2 linked regions of the Tamandua tetradactyla genome follow. The protein of the gene in region 1 purifies or fractionates together with the protein of each later gene. This does not show direct contact. Links are inferred from orthologs where the notes say so. Each region holds a gene or a part of one and is shown on either strand. Other genes may lie near its edges. The genes, in order: BCL10 and baculoviral IAP repeat-containing protein 3-like.

Region 1 (8,241 bases):
AGAATGTTCTTTCCCCAGTTCTGTCACATCCTTTAGGAATCCATTTAAATGTACACTTTCCAGACCATCCTACCTCAAGTAGATTTCCCCTATTAATGTCTCAGCACCTGTTTGTCAACTTCACAGCATTTGCCATAATTTGTAATTATACATTCATTTGTTTTCAACCCTAATTACCTATACGCATGAAGCAGGCAAGAACCAGGAATGTTTTGTTCAACACTACACTTTAACAGAGTACCAAGTAAATATGTTTTGGATGAATACATAATTCATTACACTTATTTTGTAATTTCTAATTATTACTTTTTACCTGTCTCCCTCTCCCAAGAAATCAAGATATTTTCAAATGACTGTTTTAGTTTTTAATTTCGGAACTGTTAGAAACAACTACAGCATCAGCCCTCCCAGTAGCATGTAATTCATATTTATTAAACTGAACTAAATCCAACCCCTAAAAGATAAGCTAAATAACTAGATGGGAAGAAGTTGGAATTTCTAGGAAGATGGATGGTGGTATACCATTCATCACCATATAAAATACAGCAGTAAAGGCAAGCTGCTTTGGGGGAGGGATCAATTTTAGACAAGTGAGGAATTTGCAGAATGTGAAAGATTTCCAATAGATAATTAGAAATACAGGGCTAAAGTTGAGAGAAGTCTGAATATGTGGAAGGTAATTTTTTTTTCTTTGGCATGGCAGGCACTGTGAATCGAACCTGGGTCTTCAGCATGGCAGGAAAGAACTCTGCCACTGCGCCATCATCTGCCACCCAGTGGATGGTAATTTTAAAACTTAAGGTCAAAAACCATTTTGAAAATCTTCAAGATTTTTTTTCATAGACCTCCTGAAATCCATCCACGGTCTCCCCAAGGTTATGAATTTCTGATAAAAATGCAAACTGAAAATATGGAGATGGAGAACATCAATGAACAGTCATAAAAATAAAGGCAAAGAACCCACTCTTCACATCTGCATTTGTATAGTTTTATCTCCTCTCACTTGTAATTGCCCAGTCATCAACTATAAAATGGGAATAACAATATCTCCCTTACAGGTTCTTGTAAAGATTTTAAATGGGAGCATTTATGGAACTCTGTAAGCTTAGTTCTTGAAGTTCTTGGTTTTACTGGCATCCATGTTGAACAAGACAAAACTCATTCTGTAGTACAGATTGTCCTCATTATTTGCTGATTACATTTGTGAATTTGCCTACCCAGAAAAATTTATTTATAACCCCCAAATCAATATTCATGGAGTTTTCCCATTCTTTCATAGATGTGCAGAATAGTAAAAAAAATTGAGTTCTTGATGCGCACATTTCCAGCAGAGGTCAAACAAGGCAATGCTCTACCTTCCTGTTTCAGCTCATATTGTTAACAACGTCTTTTTCATGGTTTATTAAGTGCCATGTTTGTCACATTTCTGTGCTTTTTGTTGGTGATTTCGCTGTTTAAAATGAACTCCATGTGTAGTGCTACAGTGCTGCCTAGCACTGTGATGTAACTCACAGAGAAAATATATTTGTTAGATAAGCTTTGCTCAAGCATGAATTACAGTGCTGTTGGCCATGAATTCATTGCTAATGAATCAACAATATAAATGAAGTAATGTGTCTTTAAAGAGACATACATATAAATCAAAGTAATATATTGATCGGTTGAAGAAAACGTTGCAACCAAAGGCTGGCTTGAACCTAACCCTGTATTTCCCCTAGGAATAAAGATTCAGTATTCAATAATTAGGAGTTCTCAAGGACTTTATAGAACATAATTACCACAAATAATGAAAATCCACTGTAGTCATCAATGTCCCAGTCTCATCTCAACTAGATTATAAAGCAGGGGTATTATCTTCATTTTTATATCCTAGGCAGAAGAATGGTACTTTGCAGATAGTAAGTGTCCCATAAATACCTGATAAGGAAATTAAGGCACAAGTTCTAGTCATACAGTTTAATTTCCAGCTTCCTTTTGCTAATGAGTCATGCTATATGAGCACAGTGTAATAAACAATACTGGGGAGGGAAGAGGAAGGGAGTTGAAAAAGATGAACATTAAAAAAGTTCCTCTCCCTCACAATTCACAAAGATTGTATTCTTAAGGTACTGCAATGTCAAATCAGAGCATACATTATGTTGTTTCCGTTTTTAATTTGAATTAGTATAAAACATTTTAGTAGTATTCCTACAGGTCTCAAATGAAAAACCAAGTAACTAAAAACAAAGAAGAAAGAAGCAAATCATACCTCAACAAAGCCATTCGTACAAATAGGTATTAAGGTTTGTGCAGTTCTGCAACATCCAGGCAGAAGAAATTAATTTAGCTACAGAATATTTCCAACGTTTACCTGTAAATTAATTCTCTGCTACATGTATTCATACCCCCCTCAATTTAAATACGTGGGCGTTTGCTTACTAGGGGAATTCCAGGTTGCGCTTTCAGCTGTTGAGCTTCCCTCAATCCCCTTTGCAAAACAGTTTCACATATTTGCTCCATTGCTTCGGATTCTTTTTCTGGTCCAGCTTTTGCTCTACGTTGGGTTCACAGCCTAGGAAGTATGACTTTTTAAAAAAGGATGAGGATCCCCAACAACGGAGCTTCGTAAGCACAGCCGGGAGGTAAAATCATGAGCGGGTAAGACGCTGACTACGAAGAAAAGGTCTACTGGACAAAGTTTCAGAAACCTTAATCCTGTGTTCAGCGATTCGAAAATGTGGATCAACAAATCACCGAGGGATCACTTCCAGCAAGGTCCTTTGGTCGCAGGGCTCGTCGCGATCCTCCAGAGCCCAGACCTTTCGCTCCTCCCACCCAGAGGCTCTTCTCCGGGATCCGGTTTCTGCTTCCCTCTCCCGTGGGACTGCAGCCCGCCCCCGCCCACCCCCGGATACCAGCGGCGCCTGGGCAAGGTTGCGCTACTCACGTCCTTCTTCACTTCAGTCAGGTCCTCCTCGGTGAGGGACAGCACGGTGGGCTCCATGGCAGAGGCAGGAGACGGCTCTTCTTCCGGGTCCGGGAGCTTGGCCTCGCCGCCCCTCCCAGACCTGGGGGCTTCGATAACCTCGAGAAGAGGGGGAAAGGAGAGGCGGAGCGGGTCTCGAAGAAGAAAACCGCCCCTAGGAAAACAGTGGCTCGGGGGTCGCCCTCTGGGGGCGACGGCGCCTCAGACCGTACGCGCCGCGACGCGGAGATCCAAGCCAGGCTCCTTCCCTGTCCAGGGAGGCTCAGGCGCAGGCGCCGCCCGTTCGGGAGGCTGGGCCTTCGGCAGGACCCGCCCCGTCACTACGACAGCCAATCAGCCCAAGCCTCCCACCGGAGCCTTTCAGGAGTGGCTCTACCCGCAGCTGACGTCACCTCAAGCTACACCTCCGCAGGTCATTTGCATGTGGCCGGAGGCTGGCCTCCCAATAAGGAATCGTTTCCGTGGGTGGGATCCGTTGCTGCTCAGCTGGCTGGCACCGCCCACGGCGGCAGGCGTTTCACGCTGGGTGTAGGTTTGTTAGTACCTTCGGGTTCCTCCCTTTTTTCCTGACCGGGTTCTATAATTTCCTGTTGCTGTGTTTGCCCATTCAAATGTTTAAGTTGTTATTACACACAAACACACGCGCACACACGGAACAGAACTGCAGTATTAAAGAAATTTGGGGAAATAAGAAAAAGAACCACCTCATTCCCACCACTTTAACATCTAATTAAACGTTTGCATCCTTCTCGGTGGCTGTTCGTTTATAAACATGTTTTTCTTCATTCATAAATCTGTGGAGTGGAGTTAGATCTACTTCATGGGACTGCTGTGAGAATTAAATTATACATGGAAAGCTGTAGGTACCTGGCACGGGATAAGCACTTATTAGTATTATTTTGTATTACTCAAGCATTTAGTTGGTACTTACTAATATGTTCCTGGCAGCTTCTCCTGTAAGGGTTCTTCCACATTTGGGGGTGGGGGAGATTGATGAACAGTAGTTATTCCCAGAATGGTATTCCACTCAGGAATAGAGGAGTATGCAAAGCAACCTGAGAAATGTGGGTGAGGAGCTGAGAATAGAGGTCTACGCCCAAGGAGGAAAGTTGGATGACATACTAAATAAACTGGATAGTTTTTGAAGCCACAAGGGTAGGTCAAAATGAGGAGACCAAGGACAAACTTGGAAAGCCAATGTTTAAGGTCAGGGGAAGCAAAAAACCAGAAAAGAGGTGTTCCCCAAAATGCACCAAAACATTTTTAATCACAACCCAAGGATTCTGCTTTTTTGCATTAACATTATGTCATGTCTTTTTCCACATTGATACAAAATACAAGTACAGTTTTTTTCTGCTTGCTAAATCTTCTGTTGTCTAGGCCTAACGGAAGATACATATTTGAAAAAATTTATGTAAATTATTTAGTATATTAGAAGATGATAAACAGAAAATAAAATGGAGAAGCAGGATGAGGCTTCTCATTTACAATAATTTACAATAGTGTGTCTGCTTTAGTTTCCCTTGGCTCCTCAAGCAAATACCATGCAGTGGATTGGCTTCAACAATGGAAATTTAATAATTTACTGTTTGAGGCTAGGAAAAGTCCAACTCAAGGCAATGCTTCGTCTTGAAGACTCTGGGGTTGACTGCCAGTGATCCCAGGTCTGGGGTCCCTGTTCCTTATCTCCTGTTCTTTTGACTTTCAGTGTTTTGCTTCCCATGGCCTTCTCTCTGTGTGTCTGCATTACATTCAGCTTTTGAAGGAGTCCAGTAATCGGATTAAGACCCATCTTGATTGAGTTGGACCGCATCGTAACTTTTGTAACCTCATCAAATGTCCTGCTTCTAATGGGTTCACACCCACAGGAATGGATTAAGTTTAAGAACTATTTGCTACTGGGGTACATAGCTCCGGACCATCACAGCAGCCAATGAAGACCTGCCTGAAAAGGTGGGATTTTGGTTAGGATTTGAAGGAGGTGAGGGAGTGCATATTTGGAGAAAGAGCCTTGTGAATAGAAGGAACAGCCAATGAAAGGCTCCGGGGGTGGCTGGGATGGAGTCAGGGGTGAGCAGAAGATGAGATTCTTGTGTTCCTTTGTAAGAGTTTTCTCCCACTTTGCTGAATCATACGGGCTTACTCTGAGTCAGACAGGAAGCTGCTGGAGAAGAGTGGTGTGATCTGATTTATGATTTTTGTTGAGGAGGAGGGTGAAAGGAGGAGACCAGTTAGGGGGTCTCTTCTTTAATCCAGGCCCTAGAGGTGGTGGCTCAGACAGGAGAGCTAGCTGTGATGCTTGTAAAAACACAATTTGAAGAGAAATGAGGAAGCACTTTGATTTCCTTTAGGATCACTCTGACTGTAGAAGCAAGAGCAAAAATGGAGACCAGCTGGAGGCCACTGTAGGGATTTAGACAGACAGGAGAGTGGCTCTACCAGGTGGGAGCAGTGGTGAGTGCTGCCCCGTTGTTCCCTTGGCATTATTCCCAATCTTCCATGGTTATAAAAAAATTATAAAATTTTTTGCCTACATATTTCCTATGCTATTCTCTTTTGAATTATTATTTTCTTTGCCTAAATTATCAGGAGGCAGGAGTATGCTCCCAACCAAGGAAATGAATATTTTATGGCTTTTCAGATGTATTTCCACAGGTTCTCTCCTAAAGGGTTGTGTGGGAATGAACCGCACCGGCTTTGCTCGTGAAAGAGGTGATTTCCCCCCAATTAAAGCAAATGATTTGCCAGTTTGGTGAATCCCATTTGGTCCAGTCATTTTGAAGTTGCTGTTATACTGTTCTTTTTAAAATGAAATATTTTAAACACACCAAACAGTAAAAAGAGTTATATTACAAACACCCCACACTCATTACCATGAATTAACAAATAATTGATATTTTGACACCTTTATTTCTGTTATGGGTTTTGACTATCAAATGTTAATGGTAGACAACTCTGATTCTGACCCTTTCCTTGTCCTTGACCATCATCTCTCTCTCTTTTTTTTATGTTATATTTCTCTTTTTTTATTGTGAAAAATAACGTATATACAAAAAAGTAATACATTTCAAAGCACACTGCAACAATTAGTTATAGAACAGATTTCAGAGTTTGACAGTTCCACAATTTTAGGTTTTCCCATTTAGCTGCTCCAAGACACTGGAGACTAAAAGAAATAGGATTTGTATTATTCAATACAATAATTCAGCAGTCATATTCATTTGTTAAATCCTATCTTCTCTGTTATAACTCCACTTTCTCCTTTGAGCCTTCTCCCAATCTTTAGGGGTATTTAGGCTATGTCCATTCCAACTTTTTCATGTTGGAAAGAGCTGTCAATAATATGAGATAGGGGAATGGCACTAGTTGATGTTTTGGAGAGGCTGGCCCCTCTGGGTCCATCATCTCTTTTCTGACACGTGCAGCCATGCCCTTCTTCCATCCTTGATGTTCATTCACTTATTCATTTATTCAACAAAAAGTTGTGCCTATTAGGTGCCAGTAATAGGGTTGGTGATGGACTGAAGAGCCGACGTTGGATGACACTCAGGTGTGGAGTGAGAATCTTAGGAATTTTTGAAAGCTGAAAGTTTAATATTTTGCTTTCCAGGTGTTCCAGCCCAGCCCAGCCCAGCCCAAAGACCAAAGAACACAGCAGAGAGTTAGATATGGGTTTCATTTGGGACTTACTAACAGGAAACGATTCTTTCTGATGGTGACTGGTCAGGAAATGGAAATCAGTGATCCCCAAAACAAGAGGAAGAGTACCTTATATGATTCAGCAAAGCCTGGCAATATCTGTTACAAAGAAGCTTCAGCAGAGTCTCAGCCAGTTAATTACCAACAGTGATTAGGGGAGGGGAGTTTTAATTGCTTTAACAATAATGTCTGGGCTCTGATCACACCGGCTGCTGCATACTTAAGCCTTCATCTCCCAAGGGAGGGGGTCCTGACCCTGGGCCACCACACCAGGCCATGTTTTAAGGTTCCTGGGTCAAATCATGTGTCAAAGGGGCCGCATCCTAATGTCAAGTACCTAATCAAAGAGCTGGTTTGTGGCAGGCATTACAGTTCTCAATTCTGCTTTCTTTCTAATGTATCACATTTCATAATATGCAAACTCATTTCCTCTTCTCTGTTAAATCTCAGGGTCAGACTGTAGTGAAGGTTGGGCATATTTCCAAGAAAATAGCCCCGCTTATTCCCTATTTGCAATATTTTCACCTCCCCATCCCCTAGTATGCCCTTCATCCCTACCTCTGTGTCTAGGTTTCTAGGTACACCATCCTGCCTTGTGCTGTGAAATACAAGGCATCTGATAAATGTAGTGTGAATAATACAGTTTATGTGCTAAGAAAATAAGGTGGCATATCATTGTGGTTAAGAATGAGGACGTTTGGCATCTGACAGACCTAGGTTGGATTCTGGCTTTGCCACTTAATAGCTGTATGACCTTGAATAAATAATAAACACTTAATGAAAAAAATAGCTTTTATAAGAGTGTAAAGGAAGAGATGAATGTAATCAGTCACTTTTGACTGATAAGGTGACAGGAAAGAGGTGTATTTTGGTTGGCCAAGTAGATTTCAATAGGCGGAACTTTTGTTGCTTAATGATTTATTTCAAAAGTTTTATTAAATATCTGCCAGGTACAAAATACTATGTTGAACAACAAATTTTATTCCAGATGATTGTGAGCTATAACTTTCCTATAACCAGCTGGAAGAAAAAGTAGCCAGTTCTGAGGCATCCCTGTGTTTTATTTGCAGACAATATTGGTGAAATTCCGAGATAGAAGCTCACGGACTTGGTGAACGCTCCAGATGATCCTGCCCCCAGGAAGGGCTTCCAGTTTAGGAAGGAAGGACCCAGCATGAGAATGCTCTGAGGACATTCATAGTGCACCCCAAGATCAGGGCATTGCTGGGCTTGATGAGGAAACTGGATCCTTTCCTCCACCATCCTGGTTGGTTTGGAGACTGCAGGTAGACACCTGGTATTAGAGGCTTGCGTGTTTCTGGGACATGGAGCCCTGATTATCGTCAAGGGGAGGATATCGTCAATATCCTCATAAACCCACAGGAGAACCAGCGGGAGAGGCTCGATCTCCCAGTTGTACAACTGCCTGGGGAAAAATGCTCACTAACTATCATTAATTGCTGTAACAGTCCTTCTAGACAGATTTACTTTTCCTCACTTAACAGATGAGAAGTTTGAGGCTTAGAGAATATGATTTGCCTGCGGTCACTCACCTAGCAAGTAGCAGAATCAGGATT
Region 2 (7,823 bases), on another chromosome or scaffold:
GATATTATATATATGTACTCAGAGAAAGATAATATTCTTCCCTCTTCATAAATAAAATCCTTTTTTACTTTTTTTAAAGTTTTACTTTTGGAAATTACAGCCTTTTTTCCCTTTAGTATTTTTTTTCCATATCCTCAACTTCAACTGGTTCTTTTTAAATTCTAATCTCTAATTTAAATACATTGTAATGATAAAAATTTTAAAAACTAAAAGTAAATGTTTTCAAAATAGAAAAAATATGAATGCTCATTTTAATCTAATTTTAAGCTTATAAATCTATTTTTGGTGTTTTCTTTCTCATTTGCAATTACCTCAGAGTCAACAGCAATGACTTACTGGGCCAGAAATAGCATCCATTCAGTTAATGCTTTTGATTAATTGGTTTATTTCCTTTGGAATTGAGACAAAAGCCCTTAAATGGTGAGTGCTTGTGACCCACTCATGCACACATATACCTCTGATTTATGACAGCCTTACAGTATGACACCCAGTACAGTAGACTGGGAGCCTCATGACCCTTTTCTTACTTCAACCTTGGCAGTTTGCCACTCAGAACCCCTAACTGCTCTCTTCAGCTCTTCTCTAAGATTCCTAAAAATGCTCTGAAGAAAGACTTTAAAAACAGACATGTAGCAGCTCTCTGATAAGTGACACGGTTCATCTCCATTATAGATTTGAGAGCAGAGAACATGCGAGAGGAACAAGAGACAAAAAAAAGTCATATTCTAATAAGATAGTCACAAGTTTGTCAATTCCTAGATAATATATACTTGTTGTCATATTAGAGCATCAAACAAATTCATGATAGTATCAAAGCATATTTTCAAATTTACATTTGTATATTCACAAAATTACCACAGTGGAAAGCTAGCATAACTTTCAAAGAACTACATAAGTGTTCCTTACAATCTTCATAATTTTTAAAATCTGCAATATTTGGGGAGCACAAAGATGCTAGAAATGAAGATAGAGTACTATGTAAAGATATGTATAATGAAAATATGATAGCAAGTTTCATAATCAACATTCAATAATAATAAAAGTTTTGACCATGAAAAATGTAATTAAAGATCATTGAATTAGATGAAAAAAGAGTGCAAAAGAGTGAGATCCTCGAAAGTATAAGACATGACAAAAAGTTCTACATAGTGATTAAAACAGATTAGGTGGGTCTGTATTTACCCTGACCACCCTAATTAATATTGCAACTTTCCTGACACTCCTTATCCCCTTTAACCTGCTCTCCGTTTCCCCCCCCCAAATATTTATCTTTTAATATGCTACGTAACTCATTACATTTTTATTAAATGTCTTCTCTCCCCTGCTATAAAACATGTGTATGAGACCAAGTCTCTGTTTATTCAACTGGTATAGTTTATGCACCTAGAGCAGGCCTGGCAATAGATGTTCAATTAATTATGTTAAAAGACTGGAAATATATCCAGGATATAATATTGACTGAAAAAATTTTCAAAACATTATATCTCATTTTTATGTCAAATTGTATTCATTTATCTACATAGGTACATAGGCACAGATGTCTGGAGGGATGTTCAGTCAAACGGTAAAAATGATCATCTTTAGGTGGTAGGATTTGGGGACAATTTTATTTTTTTTCCCTTGTACTTTTCTAAAATGTATGACTGTGTTTTTATAATAAGCATGTTTTATCTTTGGAAAATATATTTTAAAAATTAAACAAAATCTAAACCTATTTCTTTTTCATCCTTAATTTCCATCAAAACCTTTTAAATCTATTTCTAAGTAATTCATTCAAAAATTTATTCACAAATGTATTTTCAAAATAAAGACAAAATAAAGTAACAGCCATTTAATTGTAAAGTAGACAAATGGAACCCATCCCTTGAGACTAACAAAAATTTGCAGAGAATTTCAAAACAATTACCTTGGAAACCACTTGGCATGTTCCACCCATGGATCATCTCCAGATTCCCAGCACCTCAGTCCACCATCGCAGCAAAAACACTTAACATCATCACTGTGTCCTAAAATTAATTTGGAGGAGAACTTACAAGCACATATAGCTTGCCCACTAAAATTTATAAGCTAAAATGTATTGAACATTTTTATTATTATCAGATTAAGTTTCTTACCCATATAATAAAAACCAGCACTTGCAAGCTGCTCAGGATGGACTAGGACATTAGATGGCCAGTTCAAGAATGTTTTAAAACGGGCTGCATGTGTCTGCATGCTCAAATTAGAAACTGTGTGTCTCAAAGTTTCTCGAAGCTGATTTTCTAAAAACGGACAGCTTGGGAAATGTCTCAGATGTTCTGCCATAGCATCATCCTTTGGTTCCCAGTTGCTCAGTTTTCCACCACAGGCAAAGCAAGCCACTCTGTCTCCAGGTCCTATATAGTAAAAGCCTGCTTTTGCCAGGTCTGCTGGTGACAGAAAGCTCAATGGCCACATCTGGTAAGTAAGTAATCTCGCTTTTTCGGTATGCATTGCCCAACTGTAAGAGCTTTGTCTTGAGGCAAGAAAATCTTGATTTGCTCTGAAATTTACAGGATTTGATGGAAAGCTTGAATAAGAGCCACTGAAATATCCACTGTTTTCCAAACTTGGTAGTAATGAATGTATAGAATTTACTGAAGGAGGGAAAGACTGTGAGGTGGCTCCCAGGCTGTTAACTGAACATAGTTTCTGAATAAAGCTACAGCTAGGATACAAGTTTTTATGCTTTTCAATAGCATTGTCTCCTTTTTTCCAGTTATCCAGCATCAGGCCACAGCAGAAGCATTTGACCTTGTCATTCACACCAGTGTAATAAAAACCAGCACGAGCAAGGCTCCTTTCTGAGATAGGAACGCCCGTGGGGAAAGTCGAATATGTAGACATTCGGTACAATTCACATGAAAAGTCATATTTCAGTTCAAACGTGTTGGCACTTTTCATCAAATTTGATAAGAATGTGCTTTTTTCTACTATGTTCATGGTGAATTGGATGGGGAGGAAAAGGGACTAGCCTTTCTCTGGGGAGGTAGTTTTGTGCATGGCTTTTGATTTTGTTAGTTTCAGTACAAGGTTGAATGCCTAGAATGTGAAATCATTCTTTTTCTTCTATAAATTTAGAGTTTCAGCATGGCAAGATTCTAAATCCTATACTTATACTTTAAAGGGACATATACTTTAAAGGGACAATTATGCACAACTGTTCCTTTGTATAATCTTTATATATACATATACACATGTAAACATGATGCTACATGGTAGCTTGTGATGGAAATTAAAAACCCTTTGTTGAAGGGGGAGTGTTTTAGGTCATCAGAATACCAATATCAATATCAAGCATCTCATAGGCAGGTCAACTTTTCAGGCCACTAAAGTGCTTCAGGGGCATTCAGCCAACCTAAAGATAAAATATCTGACTCATGTAGCTAGCTTCTTTTCATGGTGGAAAGCTATGCTCCACAAGTGTTCTACAACAAAAATGTTGAAGTTATGTTTATTTTAGTTTTTGTAGACTGTTAAACTTGGTAGCCAGAAAAAAAGCCTAAGACTTACCTCAAAAGAATACATTACCATATTTCATCACTTCTAAAACATGTTTTAATATCCCCGTTATTGAGAGGCTTCTTACAATTAATGGTATATTCATATTTTAATTCCCATTATTTCTTAGAGGCACATAAAATAATAGTGTATCTGAAAGTGACAGCTTAGATAATTAGATACTTTCTCCTCCCTCAATTCTTTTAATAGGGAAAATTAAAGTTTAAAACTAAAATAAACTAAAAATTAAAACTACTTCATATATAAGGAACTTGACTCCTTAGTCCTCATGATACCATTAGGTCTTGGTAAAGTAAAAATTCTATTTAAAAAAATCATCAGAAATGAATGTATTTTGCTCAATTAGTCTTTTGGATCCAACTTCATGCTGTTAAGGCAAGTCAGCTGTTTTTGTTTTTCATTCTAATGGTACACTTGATTAAAACTGACAGTTTTTCTTATAATCATATAGACAACAGGTGGTGCAAATGGAGATTCTGCCACAAACTATCAATATATGCAATTTAAATTGAATCTTAAATTCAGATTATTTTGGAAAAACGGAATCATGATATAATGTTCCCTTGGTTAGAAAAATCATTTTATCACGTTGCTTAAGATAATTAAATATGGCTTTAAAATAATGAGACTTTTAAAGATTTTTAATTGTTGTCCCTCTCAAAGAACTAACTTTGTAGAGTTATTCCCTTACATCACCTGCTCAAACCACACATTGCACAATGTCTACCATGTACATTTTTGAACTTTGCTTTTCTAAATGTCTAATTTTTCTAATTTGCTAACATCAAATATTCTACTCTGATAACGAATTTATTTTTAAAGCAGTCAAAAGTCATAGAATGTGTAGTCTTTAGGCTAAAATGGATAATCAAATTGCGCAGATTTGGTTTTGACTAGAAATTACTTCACAGAAACTTGGTTAGATATTAGTTCACAGATAGTAAACTTTGACCCAGAATATGTCATTACAAAAATTAATAAATTTACTTTACCACAATCCCCTTCTTCTGAACAGCTGAGCCCTTTTCAAAATTCAGAATTTCTCGGTTATGCCTAACTAGCCGTTAGTAAACAGGTAGTCTACGGTAATACCAGCAATAACCAATAAACTGTTTGCTTTTCCACCAGTGATTTGCCAGCATGGTTTCCTGGCTGTCACAGATGTTGAGGTTTTCTACTGCAGACTTCAATGCTTTGTGTCCAGATAGCAAGAGAAACATTATCTCATTACCAGTTGTGATTCCCAGGAGGAATCATTGTGTCTAACTTCATTATTTCTTCAGTTAGTCAAACATTTTACATTGTGCTAAAATACCCCTGTATTCATCATTGTCTTTGTGTAAACTTTCTTTCTGGTTAAGTTTGTTCCCTTACCAAAATTTAACCACCCAGACATTGTTCTCATTCTCATCATTCTCAGCAATTTAAACAAACAGAATTTTAGACTTTCAATATTATCAGTGCTCATGTGATTGAGTAATTTCTTCAACTATCATGTTTATCTTTCCAGCTTTCTCTAAATTTTTATACCTCTCAAAAAATTTTGTACTTGACATTCTTTGCCATCATAGAAATCTTTTAACCTGTCAGAGGCCTTATTTGCATATTTGTCTAATTTAACAGAGGGTTTAATATTAACTCTTTGTTCTAGATAATGGCCGCTCATTTTTAAATCTTTACCAAATACAGGTGCTTTTTTTCTATTACACAGTGCAGCCAGTGGAAGACTGCTTACCCAAATTTTAAATGAATGCTTTAATAATATGCTCCAGCTACAATCACTTCTCCTTTACTTCCACAAATCAAATACAAAATCAAATTCATTACTTTATAGTTATACTTCATATAAATAACTCATTTAAAAAATTACATTCTTTGTAAACCAAATTAAGTCAACTACTTAAGTTTTTTTCATTCATGCACAAAACTACCTCCCGGAGATTAGACTAAGTCCCTTTTATGGGTTTTAGGCCTCCATTTTGAGATATTCTTAATTATAGAAGAAATTGAAAACAATCTAGTAGTAGAACAGTTCTCCTCTCTGGTAAAACCTGTTAAAAAAACAAAAGTTTTAAAAGTCAGTCCATGAAATATGACACAATGATTTTTTTAAAAAAACATTTTCTTCAAAATAGAGCACTAGTATTTACTGATTGTCTATGAAGTACAAGGTACTGTTCTAAGAACTATAGGTGAGAAGAAATCCCAGACAAAGACACAAGGTCTCTAATTGGTGGCCAGTAGAGATATGTTCACTTTGCACAGAAATGGACAACAGTATGTTACTAATTTTTAACTATTTTGAAACTACTTTAGACCTGGAGAAAACTTGATGCAGAGTTCCTGCATAGCTTATAACCAGCTTCCCCAAAGTTAAGGTTACATAAACTACCATCTAGAAACACTAGTTAGCTAATATTTATACAATGCTGTTAATTAGTCTATTGTGCTTTATTTGAATTTCACCAGTTTTCCAAATACATTTTTTAATGTTTTAATTTTTAAAAGTAATAAGTTACCCATAAAATTCTAGATTTCAAGCTTCTTTTGAAAAATCAGAAGGTCTGGCAACACTGGACCAAATTCCTGCATGATGCCAATTGGCTAGAATTGAGTAGTGGCTAGACCCCTCAGACAGACCATTCTCCAGTTTCTCACTGTATTTTGACCACCTAATATTTAGGCTATCAGTTGCCATTTATTACTGGACTGGCACTATTATTTTTCTTATACAGAATTGAGAGAGAGGTGAAATTGTTCTAATACCCGTGTTTATGAAGAGTCACAAAAACGAATGCTAGACCATGAGAGACACAGGTTTTGACAAAAATAAGAGAGAACCACATCTTTATGGAAATGGAGACAATCCCTTCAGGTTAACTACATAAACAAAGTATGATTCTGTTTAAAAGAGAAACACACAGTTTTGTGCATATCACCTGTCTGGCCTCTTATGCATTTGAGTATGCAAACCCTTTACATAGCTCTTACCCTAAAGAAGATTTGGTGTGGAAACAAAGCATGTATTTGTAAAAATGGTAGGCAGCAAATATACAATAAATATACCAAAAATGTGTCAAGATGCCAACCCTCGATCAATTCAACCTTCTGTCTTAACCATTTCTAACACCTAGGCTTCCAAGTCAGCTGGTGAACAGCCACACCCTGCAGAATGGGACTCCCCCTGGGCTGGCCCTTCATCATCCTTCAGCAATTCTACTTTGCCCTAATCAGCTCCCTAGCCCATAAGAGTTGCCTTATGCCACTCTTCTAAACCATCAGCCCGTTCTTCAAATGTCTCTACACTCCCCCTCACCTTCAACTGATTGCTTTGCCTTCTGTTTCTCAAAGAAACATCTTTGAGCAGTGTCCTTTCACAATGTCATATCCATGTCTTTCTAGCTCACAGTATACTTGCTGCCTCAGACTCTTGTTCCATTATGGGATCCTGTCTTCTCTCACTCCTCAGAAATATTGCTCTTAACCCCATCTCCCTCATGTCTTCAACTCATTCTCTACTATCTCTCTTCTCACAGCATGACAATCATGCATAAGTCTGTTTCAGCTTTAAAATGAAAACAAACAAAAATTTCCTCTGTGAACCCCACTTTCCACTCTAGCCACGATCTGGTATGTAACCTTCCTTTCATAGCCAAAAGCAAACTGAACCAAACTGTTGTTAAGGTGTCCACTTTTCCCCCCTCCTATTTATTCTTTAAGCCACTACAATTTGCTTTAGCCAGCACCATTTGAAACTGTATTAATGACACCAGTTAATTGTTTGCCAAATCAACGGAAATTTTTGCATCTGACACTGGGACCCACTTCTTCTTAGAAATGATCTCCTCCCTTGGCTTCTCTAATACCAGTCTCAGAATTCCTCTTTCCTTTCTAGCAGTTCCTTCTCAGATTGACTCACATCCTCAGCCTCTTCTCTTACTATCTCTTTCCTGGTGGGCAACCCTCTCCATTCTTGGGCTGTCAGGTGTCCCCATCCTCTTGGACACTCAACATATCCATCTCTTTGAAAGCATATCCACATCTCTGACACCTGGGAGTAAGTGTGCCTTTCTACTTCTCTAGACTGTGAGCCCCTTCAGAGAAGGATCTGTGTTTCAGCTCTATATGCCCCTCAGCATCCACTGGGTCTGGCACATAATTTAGACATTAAGAATTTTTGTTGAAGAAGTAAAGCTTAGCAAACTTGTCTGAGCCCTGTAGGACAACAGTACCCTCATTTGCACGATATTAAGGACATCAATTTTACATTAGTGAATATAAAG

What was found.
Region 2: the proteins of BCL10 (region 1) and baculoviral IAP repeat-containing protein 3-like purify together in Homo sapiens (affinity purification with western blotting; 5 studies listed by BioGRID and IntAct, with this or other methods). This does not show direct contact. The link is inferred for Tamandua tetradactyla from reciprocal best matches to the Homo sapiens genes BCL10 and BIRC3.

What each region holds. Positions count from the first base shown.
Region 1 is NC_135337.1:39,768,949-39,777,189, reverse strand, and holds the start of BCL10 (B-cell lymphoma/leukemia 10), read right to left. Parts: upstream 3,252-8,241; 5' UTR 2,984-3,251; coding exon 2,927-2,983; intron 1-2,926. UniProt on the Homo sapiens protein: Plays a key role in both adaptive and innate immune signaling by bridging CARD domain-containing proteins to immune activation.
Region 2 is NC_135334.1:40,516,777-40,524,599, forward strand, and holds the start of baculoviral IAP repeat-containing protein 3-like, read right to left. Parts: upstream 3,145-7,823; 5' UTR 2,962-3,144; coding exon 2,115-2,961; intron 2,007-2,114; coding exon 1,907-2,006; intron 1,566-1,906; exon of another isoform or gene 1,524-1,565; intron 1-1,523. UniProt on the Homo sapiens protein: Multi-functional protein which regulates not only caspases and apoptosis, but also modulates inflammatory signaling and immunity, mitogenic kinase signaling and cell proliferation, as well as cell invasion and metastasis.